Danio rerio: one gene and its partners. The protein of the gene in region 1 purifies or fractionates together with the protein of each later gene. This does not show direct contact. Links are inferred from orthologs where the notes say so. Each region holds a gene or a part of one and is shown on either strand. Other genes may lie near its edges.

Region 1 (3,500 bases):
AACCACTGACTTCTGTAGTTGGAAGAACAAATACTATGGAAGTCATGGTTACAGATTTCCAACAATTATCAAAATGTCATTCTTTGTTTTCACCAGTAAAAAATGTAAATTATAAAGGTTTTAAACTAGTAAAGAGCGAGTAAAAGATGAAAAATATTTGGGTGAACTATCCCTTTTAGTAAAAATGGTTTGGCAGCCAAGTTAAAGGGTTATGAAACCCCCCTCATATATATATATATATATATATATATATATATATATATATATATATATATATATATATATATATATATATATGTATATGTATATATATATATATATATATATATATATATATATATATATATATATATGTATATGTATATATATGTATATATATATATATATATATATATATATATATATATATACATACATACACACACACACATACACACACACACACACACATATATATATATATATATATATATATATATATAGTTATCATTTAAATGTGTCTCTTCTGTAAATGATGATAAAAATATGTGAAAAAAACACATTTGTCTTTTTTTATATCCTCTGCAGACATGCGTCGGGATGTCCAAGAAATCTTTCGAATGACCCCTCATGAGAAGCAGGTCATGATGTTCAGTGCCACCCTGAGCAAAGAGATCCGTCCTGTCTGCAGAAAGTTCATGCAAGATGTAATTACGCCTCTCCTACTACTACCATGTCAGCAGCTCCTTCCCTTCACAAGGCCACATCATAAACACCTGAAAGAGATCCATTTACGACCTCCCTGAGACATCCTAGCGCTAAATGCCCCTCTCTCCTGCCTGTTTGATAATCACAGACTGTTAACTAATAGAGGCACAGCGAAAAAAGATGTTAAGTCCTTAATCCCCGCCTCAGCTGGCAGCGCTGTGTCGGCATTTGGCACACAGTCACCCCCGGTCCGTTTGGCCAAAAGATAATGCACCATCCATCAGCCTCAGCCCGATTGAAAATTTAAATAGGTCCTTTAACAACATTTCTTAAAGTCATGAAGAGTCTATCCAATATATCTTAAAGAGGACGTCTTTAAAGTAACAAAGTAATGCTCCCCTAATCCCTAAACACTTCAGTTCAGGGCTGTAAATTCATTTTAAAAACATTTAGTCCCAAGTGAACACAATCCTTCACATTTGAATATTACTTCACACTCAGTTTCCATTCATCAAGATAAATTGCTTTAGTTCCTGCTCAACTGTAATTCCAGCCTGGAGATTTGTCCCCAAATAACCTTTAATTAAGAACACAAGCACTTGTTGAAGATTTGTTGCAAACTGCCAGAGACTCTCAAGGGGGCACAAAACTAAAACCGATAAAGTATCGGCCCGACAAAGCAAGCCAGCTGCTAAAAACCACATTAGATTCACGACAACCTGGCACTCCAGGGCCTGCAGTTAATTACTCTTTAACAAAGCACAATGAAATCAACTAAGGGAATAAAAAAGATTCAATCATTGGCGGCGTAAATCAGCTCAGGTGGGCTCGCCAATGATAAAGCCGCTCTTCATCAATCTAGCTGACAGTCAGTGATTAGCACAGTTCCTCATGTGCCCCCAAGAACAACAAAGACAAACCGTCTGTCATGAAGTTAAAATCAAAGCAGTAAAACTGGCCTGAAGCGGAGAAGAAAGAATGCGCGGGTGTGAGGGACGAGAGAAGAGAGAGAAAGGGAGGATTAAGCTGCGGAAGACTGGAGCGAGAGGGATGAGATTGTAAAGAAACTTCATAGAGTAGAGAGGAGACATGCGCGGGTGTAGATAGAGACGCTCCTGGTGGCAACTGAAAACATCAATACAACTAAATAGTGAAGCACAACTTTAAGCAACTATACAAAATATCGAATGACCTGCTAGGGGACCTAAGGGGGCACATGGGTTTACTAAATAGTCATACCCTTATGATTAGTCAAAACTTTGCATTCAAACACCCTTTAGTGCTCGTTTAGTCAGAATACAAAGCACCACCTAGGTTGACCTCAATATAAAAAAATGAGCTTTATATGGGACAATTGATAACTGTTTGATTGATAGGCTGAGAAGATAGAGTTGACTAAACAAACAAGGTAAGTGCATACATGCATTTAGCAGTGCTGTGGACCGAGTTAACATCTTAAATGAGATCCTCATAAGACTGGATACCAAACTTTATTATAGGGTGTTCTTTATATTTTGAATTAAGCTATCTATTGAATAAATTTGGCTTACAAATTGATCTGTTTTTTGAACGTCCCACTGCTAAATGTTACACAGTGTTGCAGAAATGTGTGTGAGGTGGCGAGTGAGTGTTCAAAGTCAACATGAAATGGCAGTTATAATTCACTTGTGGGATGGGACTTGGTTGTAAAAATTGAGCAACTGAAATAGATGTTTGACATGGTGGCAAAATTTCTGTTTTTGTTTTTTAACATTGTTAAAGTTACAGCTGTAACTGATAATATGTTATTATGCCAAGTACGGTTACATTTCTAGAAAGGCAGTAGACTTAAATAAAGTTTGTTAGCTAATTAACTCGAGGCTAACGTTTTGCAGTAGATTGATTAAAATAGTTGGATCATGAATGCATATTAAATATATTAAGGCAGTGTTTCCCAACCATGTTCCTGGAGGGCCACCAGTACTGCATATTTTCCATGTCTTTTTAACCAAAAACACCCGATTCAGATCATCAGCTCATTAGCGGAGACTGAGACCCTGTTTACACTAATGTGTTTTAGTTTTAAAACGCATGAGTTGTGCTACAGTTGAGCCTTCCGTCCACGCTATGGAGTTTTCGAGCGCCAAAAACGGAGCAATTCAGAAACGCTGAAGAAGCTTTTTTAGTTTTAAAATTCTGCTGCTTTGTGTCAGTGTGGATGGGGGAAAACGGAGACATCTGAAAACGGAGGCGTGGCTTCAGATGTTCGTCTATTTGATTGGAGTTTTTTTTATATTAAGTGCACAAAGTTCTTGCATTCTTTCCTTGTAAGTTAAGACTTTGTAAGTTTGATATGGAAAACAAACTCCCGAGGACACGTCGATAAATCTTCAAAGGGAACAGTGTACTGAACACCATATAACGTCAGTCACATCACCCCCTCTACAATTTTTCTAAACAATATCTTCACTGTATACATATTTTTAACAAAATGGAGCCTTTAACTGCCTCCTTTCACTTTTATTGAAAAGTATGAAACATCTCTTTTGCTGAATATCAGTTTTAATAATCAATAGTGGCAATCAATAATACAATAAGTTTATACAATATAGAAAATAAAGGCAAGCATGCAGTCAAATGTGCAGAATTAGTTTACTTGACAGTTTACGTATAAATATATAATATACAAAAATATCTTTGTGCTCAGTCAAAACTCTTTACCTGAGAACAAATTATAGATTCAAAAGACAATTGAGTCGTTAGATAGAGACATCACATTTGTTGTTTGTTGTTGGTAAAATATAACAACAATTGTGAGATGAGATCCAGCAGTA
Region 2 (4,244 bases), on another chromosome or scaffold:
GCTAGACGAGTAACACTATCAGTTCTGTACTTTCTCTTCTCATTCTCTCGTCGCATTACCTCACACAACCACTGCATTCCCACATAACAATGTGATTCCCTAGAGCAAATGTCTCTCCACCCGAGTGGCATTTCTGACATCTGTGACAACTAAAAGCAGATTATGTCACAATCAGGAGTCACGATCAGAAGTTCATTGTGTGCAGTGATTTCGGGGAACAACCTGCAGATTTTTTTGGGGAGAATTTGGGAAATTTTGCTGAGGCAGATGAGGTGGATTTGTGCTCTAGACTGGTGGTCGAAAGGTGGAGATGTTAGGACATACAGTATGTGTCAAATTACAAGACATGACAGGTTCCAACCAGAAAGGAATTTCGTGACACCTCCGAATTACAGTGTTTAAATCATTTTCACATTACTTCAAATGTAATGGCATTTAACTGTTAATATAACACTTAAAATCATTCCCAGTGATTAATTTAAGACTACAAATGAGTACAGCCTGAAATCACTGTATTTATTTGAGTAAAATGCTATGCTGTTAAAACTGTTGAGTCATGCATTGGGAATGAACATACAAATCGTTCTGTCTTTCTCTATGAACATCCCTAAAATGCCACTGCTATATGTACTACAGTAAACATGGCAGATTAAAACAAAAAAATACAAAGTACAAAAAAAATTATAAAATAATAGTAAATAAAACGGCAATAAAATAAGTAGCTAAAGTACAAAAATTACTAAAACCGATATATATAATAAAAGATGTTATTTTTTAACCCAGACATTTAAAAAGAACTTATTTTACAGAAGTAATTACAATATAAACTACGAATATAAATACTATATATATATATATATATATATATATATATATATATATATATATATATATATATATATATATATATATATATTATTTGCATGGCACATGGGTAAAGAAATCTTTTGGCTTTAGACATCCCCATTCTCACGAGTTTCTAAGTTCTCTTACCCTTCCAACTGAGTTTGTTCTTCCGAGGCAATCTGGAAACACCTCAGTGCTGCTGCGAATAGCCTTGTAAATACCTGTCCTGCTTATTTAAATCACCTGCTTGATTAAACTAATTAAATTAAAATTGACCGGCACAATGGATGGTTTTGTAAATAATACTGAAAACAGTTTAATATAGGTTTCTCTGAAACGGTGAATATTTCACTTTCATTTTATTTAGGCTAGATTATTATTTTATTTAACAAATCAGTTTGCGTTTTGGCGCTGAAGCATATAGTGAACTGGTTTTGTAGCACTCAGATAATATTTATTATTGTTGTTTATCTAGTAGATAACCAACAAATAAAAAATGTATTCAAATTAGGATACAAGGACGTGCTTTCATTTTCTCAATCTCACTCGCGGCAAGTTCAGTTGAGGGAGTGTTTAAGCAAATCATATACATATTTATATATATATATATATATTATATATATATATATATATATATATATATATATATATATATATATATATATATATATATATATATATATATATATATATATATATATAAACAGGAAACATAAGTTTGATCCTATCAGTTTCGTAACAAATGCCCTTAAATAATAGGCCTATAGCGTTTGACAGCAAGCACCAGTGCTTTTCAGGTTGAAATATGAATAAGGGATGATGGGGCAGGGTGGTGCTGGATATGTGCGTTCTTTTGAATAAAATCCTGCAGGCCCCTGACTTTAGATATTACTCTAGAGAATCATTCTAATACTAGCTCTAAAGTGACGTTGGTGAAGTAGCAATGGTTTTTGCTGTTTTGACATCAGCTTCAGATGTGAATGAATGGTAAAAGAAAGTAGTTCCTCATTCAAAAGAATTTTTAGACTCTGTTTGATTTTCTTTTTTAAACACAATAATGCCGTCAAACTGTTGTATAAACGCATTATCACACGAGTAACAGTGCGATATGACTGTTTATTGTCACTAGTGGAACACTAAAGCATGCAAACACGTTTACGCACGGCTCCCACCAGTGCTGATATACAGCCATATCACACTGCTACTCGTGTAAAATTGCTATTGCTCATATATAAAATATAATAACTTTCAACTAATAAAAATGAAAATAAAAAAAACTTCAATAAAATATTTTATTAAATAAAATATATGTATTAAATGAACTTTAAATACTAAAACTACTAAAACTTAAAAATAAATTAGTAAAAAAATACAAAAGAACAAATAGGCCCACACTTAAAAAATGAAAACTAAAAAAAATATCAAATAAAAGCTACATTTTACTTTTTAATACTATAACCTCAACTGTAATTGTAGCGGTAAAAAAACGAATATTTTTTATAAAAAACTAACAACATTTAATAATTAGCAGCAGCATGGCATGCATGTAATTTTTATAGAATACTTAATGTGATTGAGAATACTGTGAGTATAGCCTTCAAATTTTATTCTTTTTTTTTTTTTTTTTACAAAATTGTATATAATTTAAGGCATGCCAAAATGACTAATTCAGGACTAGAGACGGGAACTGCCTGGGATCAGCAAGGATATATTTGAGAAATAATTATGCTGTTAAAACTGTTGAGTCATGCATTGAGAATGAACATACAAATCTATCCATTTATAAACACGACATAAATGCTGTTGCTACGGACTACAGTAACCACCGCAGAAGATTAAATGTTTGACCAAAGATTCAGACAGGGAAATAGTGACTCACAGTTGCCGAAGCCCAAAATCAGGAATTGTTTGCAGGCGTCATGGATCCACCATCGCCGCACACTAGCAGAGCAGTGAGTGCAGCAGAATGATGGAATCGTGCGGCGTCCTCTAGTGGCCGATACATAGAAACGCAGAAATTTACCGTGGTCTACAAAAACATACACAGGTAATGAATTTTGACTGAAGTATTAAAAAAATCACACATTTTTATCAGGCTCCCATTTAGTAACTTGACGAATAGCAATGAAAATTTTAGTAGCTTGATGTATATGCCTTATTTTCTTAGCATTATAGTGACTGTGAAAGATCCTCATGATTCTGATCAAAACAAACAAAAGGTAAGATTTGCTAACTTATTCTTATTTTTTTTAGCACATAGACATTTGGCTACATGAAACATTAGGTCAAGACTATTTAACTGAAAGTCTGATTGACAAAACCCTGTAAAACCCTGGTTGCTAACTTTTTAGCAACTTGTCATAATACCCTAGCTTGTTTCCCTAAAAGCACCCAGCAACAAATTTAGCTATTTTTAACATTCATTTGGCTTCATTTAGCAACTTTTTAAAGAGTGTCTCAAATCAAAAGAGCAGTAGCTACTAGTGACTGCAGGCTTCGGCTAACTCTAAATCTAAATAGCTGGGCACAGAAGAGCAGCCAAAATAGTTCCTGGTAAACCAGAGAGACTGAAACGCATTTCTAGGACAGCAATTCAAGCACCCTTAGAATTTTTAGAAATTGTTCTTCCTGATCCGTCCAGTAGGCGGTGGTTGGGTTAAGGCATAGGGGTGGGGTAAGGCCATATTTGATCCTAGAAATGTAATTCTGAAACTGCAGCCTCTGGTTGTGCAGCACCAGCAATATTTGTGGGCTGAATGCAAGAGCAGTAGATAATATTTCACATTTTGTTAACAACCATTAACATGTAGGCTATATTTTTTGTACATTTAGATAGCATTAACTACCAATACATTGATATAATTAAACATATTTCAAATAATGTTTTGCTAAGATGGGCAGTCTATTTAAAAAACTCATGGATTCATTAATTCATTCACTTTTCACCTAAGTCCCTTTATTAATCAGTGGTCGCCACAGCAGACCTATCCCTGGGAAACATCCATACACACTTATTCACACACATACACTACGGACAATTAAGCTTACCCGATTCATCTATAGCCCATGTCTTTGAACCTGTGGGGAAAACCCAGAGAAAACCTACGCGAACATAGGAGAACATGCAAACTCCACACAGAAATGCCAACTGACCCAGCAGGCACTCGAACCAGCAACCTTTTAGCTGTGAAGCAACAGCTCTAACCGCTGCGTCACTTCGCCACCCCAAAACTCATGGATTATTAGTTTAAAGATACATCTAAGCCCAGCAACCCCCCCCCCCCCCCCCCCCATCCCATTTTACATAAACAGAACAATATGGTTAACATATTTTTTGTCAGTTCTTACAGACTGTGAAGAAGAGATGGTGGAAGAGACTCACCTCTTTTTTCAGAGCT
Region 3 (3,976 bases), on another chromosome or scaffold:
CTCTAGTACCACTTCTGCTTTAGAGAGCATGCAATTAAGAGACATTAAGAGAAGCTTGCATTTAACAATACTTTAGTGTGTATTATGACTGTTAAGATGCTCCTCGCACAACGATCATGACCAGGAAGTCCTCTTCTGTTTTGGCAAGAGCTTTCGCAGAAGAATCTAAGAACTGCTGAGAGAAATCACATGGTGGAAATGCGTGCAGGACGCCAGTGTTGTCCTTATCTCTACTGCCGCCGACGGGCAAACTGATGACCCCGGCGGCCTGCTTTTGCTTCAGGTATGAAACCAGGTTGCGGAGAGGCCTCTGCGTGGATGCTGCTGGGTCTGATGATGAAGTCTCCTCAGAGCTGCCTGGAACTGCCAGTAGAACTGCGTAGCCTCCTGGGCCTGCCACTTTGATGCGCCGAGACACCTCGTCGATCTTGGGCTGGTCTAGACGAAGCCGTTGTGTGATGCGCAGCTGAGAGACTTTTCCACCCGTGCTGCCGTCGATGAGAAGGCTGGTGGCGACGCTCAGGTCCCCCTCCAGGAGGTGCATGCTGGCTGGGAAGTTACTGTTCTTGAGGAGCAGCATGCCATTCCAGGCCATGCTCAGCTTCCCCCCTGCGTCCTGTTTTGAAGCTTGGTTGCTTTTGGAGCTGCTTTCGGATCTGTCCCTCTTGGATGCACCTTTAGCTGAATCGCCCGCTTTGCGCTTTCGTTCTGCAGGGCTTGCGCCGATGCTGGACTCAGAGAGGTTGCTGTTGCTTTTGATGCGTTTCTCACCGGGAACTCGGTCCAGGCTGCTGCGGCTCTCTCGTGCTGGGGACACCCGGTCTGCTCTCGCTGGACGCTCAGAGTCACTGAAACGTCCGTCTCGGCTGCTGCCGCCTGGGCTGCCCTCAAGCGACGGGGGTCTGCGACGGCGGGCCGCCCACTCACTGCTGCTGTCAGGCGAACACTCCAGATGTCTGCCGTCCTCCATGAGCCGCCGTTTTCGTGCAGCTTCTCTGCCTGGCAGCTCTCGCTCCAGTGACCAGGCCTCTCGCCGTCGTTCACGCTCTAAGTGTTCAAGGGGCTCAAATGCAGGAGTTCGTACACGTTCACGAATAGTAGGTGCTGGCCACTCAGCCCCAGCATAGAGTTCTCTTTCTCTGAAGTGCAGTGGCGGAGGAGTCCGTTCTCTGACCCTGATGGCTTCAGGGGTGGCACGATGAACGAAAGACTCAGCCATGATTTCATAATGTTGCAGGGGGAGGGGCTGCAAGAACTGTTGTTGGTAGCGATGCTCTGTGTCAGCAAAGTCCACCCTCAGCCTCCTGTCAGGACCACCAAGAGGAAATCCACGCATGTGTGTGCAGGCTGCCTGAGCAGCGTCCAGGCTTTCATACTGAATATAAGCCCAGGTGTCCCCTTTTCTGTAGTCTATAGTCCTAATAGTTCCAAAGCGGTCAAATTCCCGGGCTAATGCAGTCAGAGGCACCCAAGGGCCAAGACCACCCACCCATAGTCTTGTGGTTGGGGTGGCTTTACCATATCCAATTTTTATGGGGTTTCGGCCCACAACTTTCCCAGACATGCTAATTTTAGCTCTGTGAGCCATGTCCAAATTCTCAAATTTAAGGAAGCCATAGGTGCTGCTCTGGCCACGAGTGGGTCTTTTAATGTCCACCTCAGTGATTGTCCCAAATCGTTCAAAAGCCCTCCTCAAATCGTTTTCAGTCACAGTAATATCCAAGTTACCCAAAAACAGTGTGCGGTTGGCTCTCTGGTCGTCCTCTGGAGAGATAAAGTCCTCCTCACGGAAAGGAGCGGCTCGCTCTGCTATGTATGCGGGCCGCGCCCTCGCTTCATAAAAGGCAAACTCTCTTTCTCTTTCCAGCTCTCTGGGCAGAGGCGGGGGTGGGGGAGGAGGAAGCCGACCCAGTGCTAACTGCTGTAACCGGTAGTCCCTGTAGCCCAGGCCGGTTGGAGAGAGCGGCCTCTGAGTATGCAAATGTCTATGGCCTGCAACAACAGAGAAATGATCCTCCTTCACCGGAGAGCGACTCCTCCGCCTGTTCAAGTAAACTGCCTCGATTTTTAAAGGACGGTCGTAGAGCACCAGCCGGCCTCGTGCGTGCTTTGCCGCCCTGGCATCATCCGGTCTCCTAAAGTTGACGAATGCGATTCTCTCGTCGTTCACTCGGCTGATTTTGACGCTCACGTCACCAAATTTTTTGAATTCATGAAAGAGGCCGTCCTCGATTTCCTCGTCACTCAGCTGCGAGCCAAGCTCGCTGATTTTTAAAGTTTTGTACTCACTTTCGTTTGTGGGAAGCGGTGCGCGCGCCTCCCCGCGCGAGTTGGTGCGCGCCGCCTCTAAGGACAGACTCGAGGCGTGATTTTTGCCGCTTGAGCTCGCAACAGGGCTCGTGTAACCGTGGTTATTACCAGTCCGACTGGATACATGTCCGTCAAATTCCCGTCCGTCTCTTTTATCTCCAAGCAGTCCCCGTCGTGCAGAGCCCCCGTCGCTTTTAGACGAACTATTGCCGTTGTTGCTTCCTCCGCCAGAATTCGAGATAACCCCCATTTTCTTACTGGTCGGATGGCTTCCTCCCCTGTCTCGTATATCATCCAAGGCCCTTGAACGTTTTTTCACCGGCGACCGCTCTTTACCTTTCATGTTAGATGTCCTCTGGCTTCACGCGCCTAACAAAACACTTTTTTAACTGTAATGCTACCGCAACGTCAACGAATTTGCACGATAAACTGAATAAATTGTTCAGTGTCCCTGCGGCAAAACAACCGCATACGCCATCTTGTCAAGACTAAAACATGACCCGCCCGTCGACTTTGATTGGTTTGAATCTCTGAGAAACGACAGCGCTATTGGCTGATCCGTCTGTCAATCTAAAGCACTAGTACAGCGCCCAGTCTCGCTGTACACCATTTTAGCTTCAAAAGCCAAATGTTTACTATAGCCACTTTATAAAACACAGAGGTGACATTCAACTAACCACACATATAGTCTTTGAGAACATGTACTGCCAATATTATATTTGCTTCTTAAACCATATTTATTAATCATCTCGATAAATCTACAAAGAGTGCTTTGTATAGGCTATTTTTAAAATTAAACGGTGTTTAACTTTAATAGATGCTAAGAGTCTGAGTTTCACCTACATGTTATTTCTTATAAATTTAAATGAACTGTGCAATCTTTATAAAACGTAAGTAATCCAAATAAAAAAAAACTAAAACATTCTCGTTGTTCACTTGATGTCCAACAGATGGTGGTGTTTGCCTTTCACAGAGGTGAACGGACGTGAAAAAACAGCCTTTTAACCATGTCGGTCAGCTATAGATGAGCATTTTCCATGGGTTTTAGCCATTGGTTTTAGCCTAATAACTGAAATAATTTCTTAACTAAAACAATGCAGATCTCTGATTATATGCCCATGTCTGTGAATTTTTTTTTATGTTAAATTGTAAAAAATAAATAAATAAATAAATAAATAAAAGTAATGTTATTGCCTTTAAATTAGTTAAAATTTATCTTAAAACAATTTAGTGTTTTACAATTTGCATGCTTTACTCATACCCTCAGGGACCATTATAGTTTTAACTTATACAATTATCAATTCAACCATCAAAATTAAAAAAAATTACCCCCAAATTATTATTTTTTTCAATGAAGAAAAATAGGAATATATTTATAGGACAATGCTTTGAACTTAATACAAAAACGTCCAAAACCTTAAATGAGTGATAATAAAACAAAATACAACTATTTTAAAAACTTTATCATGCACATAAACACATTCATCCAATGTTGATTCACCAGAAGACAAATTGAACAGCCAACGTGTCATTTATTTATTTTTTACAATGCACAAACTGCATTCAAAATCAAACACTTTCTTGAGTATTTGAGTAGGCTACATACTTTGAAAACACGCCCTACATAATGAACATAGTATTGTTTGAACAATCTAGAACTACAAGA
Region 4 (4,271 bases), on another chromosome or scaffold:
ATTGATTTCATTCTTTAACAGCCCGAGCACTGAGGTGAAAGAGATGCCCTTAATATTATTATAAGCTCAAAATTATTTCAAATGGTCAGTAAAAATGTGTGTTTCTTTGCACTGATGTCAGATCTGGCTCTTTACTGCCAGAACTGCTCATAAATCTTTCAGGTGCAGCGGAACCTCAGGAGTACCAGCAGCCCGACTGCACAATTCTTACCGGCTGTATTTTCTTTCTTCAATAAATTCAAAGTAGGCCCTTCCATGTTCATCTCGGCGTCTCTTTACACCCTTCTTATTCTTCTGTTCATCTTTCTTGTCTTTGTCCGCATCCCCTTTGGAAAACAAACAATAAAGCGTAAGGAAGAGTACCTCCCTGCTGGACCAGGCATGATGTAACATGATGGTCCACAGAATTACTGGAGGATTTATACTCTTGTTTAGGGTATGCATGAATTGCAATGAGCAGTGCTTTAAAAGAAAATTTATGCTCAAGGAGCGACGTCAGACAGTGCGGGTATTGTACACTGCGGGATTGTATGAGTACAGACAGAAGGTTGATGCCAAGACAACTGCAAACTGTGCAATTTTGAGCTGAGTAACACACATTTACATATTCAAATTGCATGCATCTTGAAGAACTGCAAATGTTGTGACATAAAAATTAGCGATGCACCGATACTGAAACCAGTATCGGGTCAATGCTTTGTTAAAATACTTGTACTCGTATCGCAAATGAAATGACGATACCACTCAACAGTATGTCACTACGTTGATTTGTTGTCCTACATGACTTTAATGTCTTAAGACAATAATTAAAAGAGTGGCGAGACTTGACAAGGCCATATGATGCTTTAAAATGCTTTTCTAATGTTCATGACTATAGTATACAAATGAATGAGGTGTCACAGAGCACTGACTGAATCAGATGGCCAATCAGAGATATTGGCTATCCAGAGAAAGGGGCTTGGTTGAAACCAAAACTCAATCAGAGCTGCAGCAATGCAGAGAAAGTGGAAAATAATATACATTTTTTTGAAAATTAAAGCATTATTTTAAATTAAATAATAAATTAAAATAGCATCATAAGGCCTGTTTGATGGTCACAGATGTAGGCTAAAGCCACTAACCCCCCTTTAGCACAAAGGGGGTAGAAGCATCTGCCAAATGACAACAAAGAATACCATGAGGTGCTCCTCAATACTGTAGGGCATCTATGGACCTGAAAAAGTTTAACTTCCACTAAAAACATGTAGTCAATAAACATGAAATATATAGTGTTTGAGTTTTTAGCCCCTTTAAGCAACATATTTTCCAATAGTCTACAGAACAAACCATCATTATACAATAACTTGCCTAATAACCCTTACCTGCCTAGTTAATAATTAATCTAGTTAAGCCTTTGAATATCATTTTAAGCTGAATACTAGTATCTTGAAAATTCTTAAGTAAAATATTATTTACTGTCATCATGACAATAATAAAATAAATCAGTTATTACAAATGAGTTATTAAAACTATTATGGTTAGAAATGTTTTGAAAAAATCTGCTTCTTTTCCGTTAAAAAGAAATTGGGGAAAAAATAAACAGGGGAGCTAATAATTATGACTTCAACTGTGTACTGGTGCAAAGACATTATAAGGGATCAATTAAATAAAATGAATAAATCAAAATGTACATTTTTAATAAAAAAAAATAACAATGGATTTTTTTCATTATTTCTTGCATTTAATTTGCAGATATTTCTCATACTTTAATTAGGTTAATGAAATATGTATTACATTAAGGTTTGACATATGTAGCACAATGTAAAGAAGATGTTGCATTCACCATAAAAATATATATATTGAAAAACTATTGGATAATCAATAAAATTATAAAACACTAAATAAAGGAAATAGGAATAAGAAAATAATTAAATTACGTAAAAATATAAGTTTATATTTTATTAGAAATAAATATTTGAAATAAAAAGAAATACATTGTATTATATTATGCATGTTATTATAATTAATATAATTATGTATAACATTTAGCTATATTAGATTAGAATAAAATAAAATACTTACATACTTAGCAAAGTAAAGCCTATTGCTGTAAATCATATAACCTGAAACTGTAGCAGTAACTCAAGGAGAAACAAATGGGACAGCAGCAATGAGCCCATAACAAACCCCAGTATACGCGTTCTGCTGACAGTATGAATTATTTTAGCCCAATTATACACAAAGTAACTATGAATTACTCGATCTTCATCGTATAATCTCACCCTTGTCAAGAGCCACATCATCCTCATCGAATTTCTCCATCTCTTCATCTTCATCATCATCACCATCATCATCTTTAAGAAGAGCGTCTTCATCCGATTTATCCATCTCTACCCCGGCGTCCTCCTCTTCCTCCTCCATAATATCATCATGCTCGGCCTCCGCGTTTCCTCCATCCTCTTCTTCCTCCTCCATGCTCTCTCCCACCGGGTCCTCCTCCAGGTCTTTGCCGGCGGGGTCTCCTCCGTCCTCGTACCGACGCTCGGAGCCGTTAGTACCAGAGAGCGCCTCCTCGTCTAGTGCGGCCTGCAGGCGCGACATAAGATCCGCCTTCAGCCCTTTATCAGACAGACTCCTTTTCTTTAGCTCGTCCTTCAGCTCGTTCACTTTCAGCTTCTTCACGTTTATAGCGCTCATTGTGACCGTCGTCTTCAGACTTGTGTATTTGAGCAATTATGAACGGAAAATATGAACGGAAAGGGCAGGTTGTTGTGAGCGGACTGTCCGTTAACGCGCGGTGCGGTCACTGTAGGCAGCAGTCGAAGCGGAACAAGGCCAGCTCAGCTTTATATAATCTACCGTAAAGCACGTTATAGCCGAGCGCGTATGAGACTACCGTAAATATCGATATTGATTTAAGATAATAGACGTAGTTTTACAATTTTTAGAAATTGTATTGTCTGTGTGGCTTTTTTGTTTAAAACTTAAGGCATTTTTTGTTCTGTTTTTAAACATGGAATTTAATTAGATATTTTACAGTCCTTTAGATAGGGTGGCTCTTTTTTCTGAAAAAGTGGACCTTTTCTGCAGTTATTCACCTCATTTTCTATTCAATTATGAGGTTTAAATAATGCATTGTAGTGACATTTTAATTACTAATCTTCGCCGAATCTTTTTGACGTACTAAAAATATTTTCTAGAGTGCTTATACTGCTTTATTACAAAGAATTTGCATTTAAACTTTAATTTACTACAGTTATATAAATAATGCTATGAGTTTTATTCAAATAAAAAATTAATAAAGAAAAATAAAAACATACTTATTTTTAAATACAAATTTTTTATCATCCATCATTTTAAAAATATATGGTCAAACTTGTTTTAAACTAAAAAGTGTAGCAGAAAAAAAAAACTCACCATCTCATTTCACTTTCCTCAGAAAGCCAGAATTTGGCCACTTGATGAGCAGATGAACATGATGTATATAAATTAATTTCTGCCTCTCCTGATGCCTCTATTTTGATTTCCCATTTTATAGCCGTTTGTAATAATCAGTTTGACATATCTACTTTGTATTTGAAAGATTCTTGAAAGATTTACAGATTATAATTACCAATGGGGACTGGAAAAAGTCTATCAAGGTCATAATAAATACATAAGAGTGTGAAGATGCAAAAACCTCTAAATGCCTTTTGAAACATTTCCCTAAAAGGAGTATTTTTTATGTGTATTCATATCACTTAAATGGCAAAGATTAAGTCCTTTTCCTGGGCTTTAAAGTAAAATATCTCAACATAAACAAAGGATGCTGAGAAAAAAGTAAATTTTCTATGGAAATTTCAGATGTTTTTTGCATCTAAACTCTTGACATGTTCTATTAACTCAAGACACCTAATCCAATATAAAAGTGTGCATTGGCTTCATTATTCTATAGGGTTAAGCTTAATAAATTCTAGTCCTCTATCTCCTGTAAATGTAATAAATGTGAAGCTGAAGGCTTCATAGGACATATTTTTTGGTCATGGCCAAAACCTTTTGAGATTTGGAGCAAAATGTTCAGATTCTACTCTGGGGCTTGTTCTTATGACCTTGCCCCTGATCCAGCAATCACTGTTTAGGTTTATCTGACTCAATTTGTAGGTTCAGTCATCAAATTAAAAAAGCTGTCCAATATAGAATGGTGATATATAGCTAAAAAACATTATTCTTTGTTTATGAAAAAGGCATCAAAACCACTTTAAATCCTTAAATCCTGGCTTTCAGAATTTTCTGCCACTTTACATTTAGAGAGA
Region 5 (4,274 bases), on another chromosome or scaffold:
ATACACTACGGACAATTTATCTTACCTAATTCACCTGTACCACATGTGTTTGAACTGTGGGGGAAACTAGAACATACAAACTCCACTCAAAAACGGCAACTGACCCAGCCGAGGCTCGAACCAGCAACCTTCTTGCTGTGAGGCGACAGCACTACCTACTGCGCCACTGTGTCGCCTAAATAAAATAGTAATAAAATAAAAATAATAAAATATAAAATAAACTTATGATAATAAAAAATAAAATACATTAATAATAACAAAATAAAATAATTAAAAATAAAATATTAAAATAAAATAAAAATAAAGTAATATAAAAATATGTTTTCAGTTATATAATATATTAATATAATATAAAATAATAGCGTTTTCAGTTCAAAATATAAACAAAATTATGTTTTACTGAAACTAAAGAGTTTCAGGAACAAGAATATAATGCTAAAAATAAAATAATAATAATAATAAAATAAAAATTATAAAATAAAATAAAAATCAAATACAAAATAATAAAATATAAAATAAATTATTTTAATTTACATTATGTATGTCGCCTAGTATACATAGTATTATGTAATTTGTTTATATTGCTAGTTGCTGTATTAGAAGACGTACACAGCAGATTAATTAAAGTACCCTACTATAGTTCAAAAACACTACTATACATAATTATAGATTTTTAAAGGATAAAGATTTCAATAAACATTTATTTTTATGTGTGCTGAGATGTGTTATTCGTTCAGATTTGCCTGATTTTAGTTTGATTTTTCATGCGTTGAATTGACTAAGTGTCAATGTGTTTCTGAAGTTCATAGCTAGCTGAGAAAGCAGCAATATCATCAATCAGTCCTTTAAAATCAATGGTTTAATACACATGCCTGTTATTATTCAAAAGCTGCATCAAGCATTGTATGATTTTCAGTCAAATGATATGCAAATCAATGAGATAGACGCACAGATAGAGATTGATATTATCTGTGACGGGACAATATTGAAATATCGTGTAATAATAGTAGGCTAAAATAAACTATCCGTACATAAATATTGAAATGATCCAATAAACTCTGTAAATTGTGAAATGCCTGTCAACACTGACACCCATTATGTATTTATTTATTTAAAAGAAGGAGAGAAAGTTCCTGATTCCAGACATTCCTCCATTCCTGCGCGTGTGTGTGTGCGTGTAAACACGGTCCGGCGACTTATATGGTCACAAAAGCCCAAAGTCGCGCACATACCTCAGACATTAAGCACACATACGGGGCCCTGCGGCCCAACTATTTCAAGTTCACCCTGTGACGCGGACTTTTACCCGCTCTGGCACGCCCACACGCCGCCTGTCATTGGCCGAAGCCTTCGGGAATGCAGAGCGAGCGGACTGTGATTGGCGGAGATTCAGGAAAGGGGCGGTTACGTGCCGCAGACTCCGCCCCACCGGGACCGCACCCCGAACCATTACAGCAGGACGGAGTTCAACTACGAGTGGAAGAGGGAGGGAAGAGAAAGAAAGGAAGAAAAAAAGAGAGCCGAGTGAAGAGAGCCAACTTGTGCGCAGCTTCAGTGGATTGAAAAGGGAAGTCTGGAGCACGCGACACGGATCCACACTGAGCCTCTGGAGTTTCTGACAACCATCCCCCGAACTCCGAGCGTCTGCATCTGATTAGCAGGTAAAGCACCGGGTGGACGGTTCCGTTTCCTCCGCAGATCCATTCAGTCGCCGCGCGGAGAAACAGGAAGCGCAGCTAGTGTGAGCAGCGACCTGGAGTGACGCGGCCTGGTTTTGCTGCACTTGCAAACTTGTTGTGGTGAAATCGTTACGGTTGATCGATATTTCTTGCGAAGATAACCTGTGACGCGTCCGATCGGCACGGACAGCCGCGCGGTGAGTTTCAGGAAGTGCTCGAGCGCAGAAACACCGGCTCGCGCGGGCCTCAACGGGCACGCGGAAACCCGTTAATTTTCACAGAAAATGCTGTTTGCGCGAAAGTAGGGTGCAGTGCGACTGCAAACGGAGCATGATGTCATTGAGCGCTAGCGAGTGACGTTTCACGGGCGCTCATTACGTCATCGCTCGCGTTAAAACTGGGCCAAGCGGCGCGTTTTCAGTTATCCGCCCGATTTTAAGGACGAATCTGTATTAGCGGTTTGTTAACACAGCAGGAAAGTAAACTTGGACGCAAATAAACGTAGTTTCTGACTCTTCTAGAGAGTTCTAGTTAGTTACAGACAGATGGAAATAGGTTACGCGCGCTCCCAAAGTTCGATGAGGGTGTGATCGCGCTGCGTGCTCCCGCAGACATTGGTGCGCGCTTTCTTCAACCGGACAAATTTCATTTGTGTGCAAGAAACTTGGTTAATATTTGAAAGGAAGAGTGCACACGGTCATTCGCGGGGGCGCGCTGCGCGAGCTCGTCCTTCTGGTGTGTGGCCTTGTTGCATTTCTGTGTATTTTGATATACGTGTTGTTGGCTGCTTTCTGAATATGTGTCCAGCAATTAGCATATTTCATTTCAGAAACCCTCTAATGCTTTATTGGTTCTTGATTGTTATGAACAGGATGTTGATGAATCTCTGAAGTGAGTGATTGGCAGCTACTTTAGCTTTATGCTCAGATTTAGTTGTGATTTTGTCGGGTGTGTCTTATAACCACACAAATCTGTGTGTAATCCATGTGAGCTCTCAGATTCATGCTGATGTGAGTGTGTACTGCATTTATCTTTGTCATCATTCTGTTTGCTGCTAGTAATAGTGTTATAAGTGTGTGTGTGTGTGTGTGTGTGTGTGTGTGTGTGTTATTCAGTGCCATAGAGCAAATAATATTATTGAAATGAACACCAGTTTCACTTTCTTAGAAGACGTCTGCAGTACACACCTGACCTGTGTGTGTGTGTGTGTGTGTGTGTGTGTGTGTGTGTGTGTGACCTGGTTTTCTTTGAGCGAGTATGTCTAGGACGTTGTGACCCAGTAAAAGCACATGCTGGTCTCATTCTGGATTTTGTTGTAGCTTCTCTTCATTGGTTAAGGAAACGCATAAGACTCCCTCAATCCCTGCGGCATTTATACTGCGCACAGAGCTGCTGCGTCCAAGTCCTGTCCAAAAAATCATATTTACGAGTCGAACTCAACCACAACATCGTAATTGTGGGGAACAGTTTTTCGAGGCCTAAAGCTTCTGAGTTCAATACAGACTCAGTGGATATATTTATTTGGTCAACAGTTGACTGTAATTTAGTTGCAGCTTTTAAAATTGCTTTTTAGTGCACAATAAAAGTTGCATATGATGTAGTGGAAGATGTAGTAATTCAATGTATACATGCAGAGATTAAATAAATGCTTAAAAGAGCAAATGCACTATGCTATATCCATCATTATATAGAGATTGCTTAAATAAGTGTAAAATGGTACTTTGCCAGCTTGCTCTTGGTTTGAGTGATTTGAACAAATCTGACAGGGTAATTATGCCTTGTCAACTCCTAATGATGAACAAGAGGACTTTAGCTAATGTGTTTGTGTGCGTGGAATTTGTACAGCTATTGTTTTCCAAGTCGTGCATTAAAAGGTGTGAGCATGACCACTCTTTTATAACTTAGTATGGTCCATTATTTGTCTGATATCAAATTAAACATGAACATGAAGTCAGCACCTATAGCCTAGTGCACTGATCATCAACTCTCAGTAATGATTAAGGGTGCTTTCACACCTACACTTTTGTTTCGGAACGTATCTCGTTTGCCCAGTTAGCGCGGTTCGATTGGCATATGTGAACAGGGCAATCGCGCTCTGTCCCGCGCCAAAGTAATCGCTCCGAGATCGCTTGAATGAGGTGGTCTCGGCTCGATTGAAACGAACCCTGGAGCGGTTCGATTGCAGTGAGAAAGCGATCTGATCCGAGCGCGGTTATATCACAGTGTTTTATGGATATGTAATAGGCTTACGGCTATATGAAGAGAGAATTATGAGTAAGGCGGGAAGTTTCGTGAGTCTCCGGATGCCCGCAAACGAGTGATGATCTCCCGGTAATCTCGTGTCTCTCTCCCAGTCCTCAAATAGGCATCATCGCGCACCCTTCTCACCCCTCCCCACCGCGTCTATCCTCAGACACGTCACGCGCGCGCACCCTGTCAATCACCACCAAACCACCACCTCTCCTGACAGCTGAGCGGGACGCTGCAAAATAAACCCTGACACTCTGACCAATGTAAGGAGAGTTTACTCGCACGTGACTTGTTTTAGCTCTTTTGGTCCGATTAGAAACTTTGCAGTGTGAAAGCGAACCGCAC

What was found. Proteins that work in one complex are often made in the same cells at the same time.
Region 2: the proteins of ddx39b (region 1) and lmna purify together in Homo sapiens (affinity purification with mass spectrometry, with the first as the bait; 4 studies listed by BioGRID). This does not show direct contact. The link is inferred for Danio rerio from reciprocal best matches to the Homo sapiens genes DDX39B and LMNA.
Region 3: the proteins of ddx39b (region 1) and rbm15 purify together in Homo sapiens (affinity purification with mass spectrometry; 3 studies listed by BioGRID and IntAct, with this or other methods). This does not show direct contact. The link is inferred for Danio rerio from reciprocal best matches to the Homo sapiens genes DDX39B and RBM15.
Region 4: the proteins of ddx39b (region 1) and hnrnpua purify together in Homo sapiens (affinity purification with mass spectrometry, with the first as the bait; 3 studies listed by BioGRID). This does not show direct contact. The link is inferred for Danio rerio from reciprocal best matches to the Homo sapiens genes DDX39B and HNRNPU.
Region 5: the proteins of ddx39b (region 1) and myh9b purify together in Homo sapiens (affinity purification with mass spectrometry, with the first as the bait; 4 studies listed by BioGRID). This does not show direct contact. The link is inferred for Danio rerio from reciprocal best matches to the Homo sapiens genes DDX39B and MYH9.

The regions. Positions count from the first base shown.
Region 1 is NC_133194.1:29,763,105-29,766,604, forward strand, and holds part of ddx39b (DEAD (Asp-Glu-Ala-Asp) box polypeptide 39B), read left to right. Parts: intron 1-567; coding exon 568-686; exon of another isoform or gene 687-2,628; intron 2,629-3,500. UniProt on the Homo sapiens protein: Involved in nuclear export of spliced and unspliced mRNA. Component of the TREX complex which is thought to couple mRNA transcription, processing and nuclear export, and specifically associates with spliced mRNA and not with unspliced pre-mRNA.
Region 2 is NC_133191.1:33,787,058-33,791,301, forward strand, and holds the start of lmna (lamin), read right to left. Parts: upstream 2,801-4,244; 5' UTR 2,726-2,800; exon of another isoform or gene 2,393-2,725; intron 1-2,392.
Region 3 is NC_133183.1:26,684,728-26,688,703, forward strand, and holds the start of rbm15 (RNA-binding protein 15), read right to left. Parts: upstream 2,801-3,976; 5' UTR 2,654-2,800; coding exon 92-2,653; 3' UTR 1-91. UniProt on the Homo sapiens protein: RNA-binding protein that acts as a key regulator of N6-methyladenosine (m6A) methylation of RNAs, thereby regulating different processes, such as hematopoietic cell homeostasis, alternative splicing of mRNAs and X chromosome inactivation mediated by Xist RNA.
Region 4 is NC_133192.1:12,690,154-12,694,424, forward strand, and holds the start of hnrnpua (heterogeneous nuclear ribonucleoprotein U), read right to left. Parts: upstream 2,801-4,271; 5' UTR 2,677-2,800; coding exon 2,262-2,676; intron 327-2,261; coding exon 212-326; intron 1-211. UniProt on the Homo sapiens protein: DNA- and RNA-binding protein involved in several cellular processes such as nuclear chromatin organization, telomere-length regulation, transcription, mRNA alternative splicing and stability, Xist-mediated transcriptional silencing and mitotic cell progression.
Region 5 is NC_133178.1:3,460,319-3,464,592, reverse strand, and holds the start of myh9b (myosin-9), read left to right. Parts: upstream 1-1,474; 5' UTR 1,475-1,876; exon of another isoform or gene 1,877-3,694; intron 3,695-4,274. UniProt on the Homo sapiens protein: Cellular myosin that appears to play a role in cytokinesis, cell shape, and specialized functions such as secretion and capping. Required for cortical actin clearance prior to oocyte exocytosis. Promotes cell motility in conjunction with S100A4.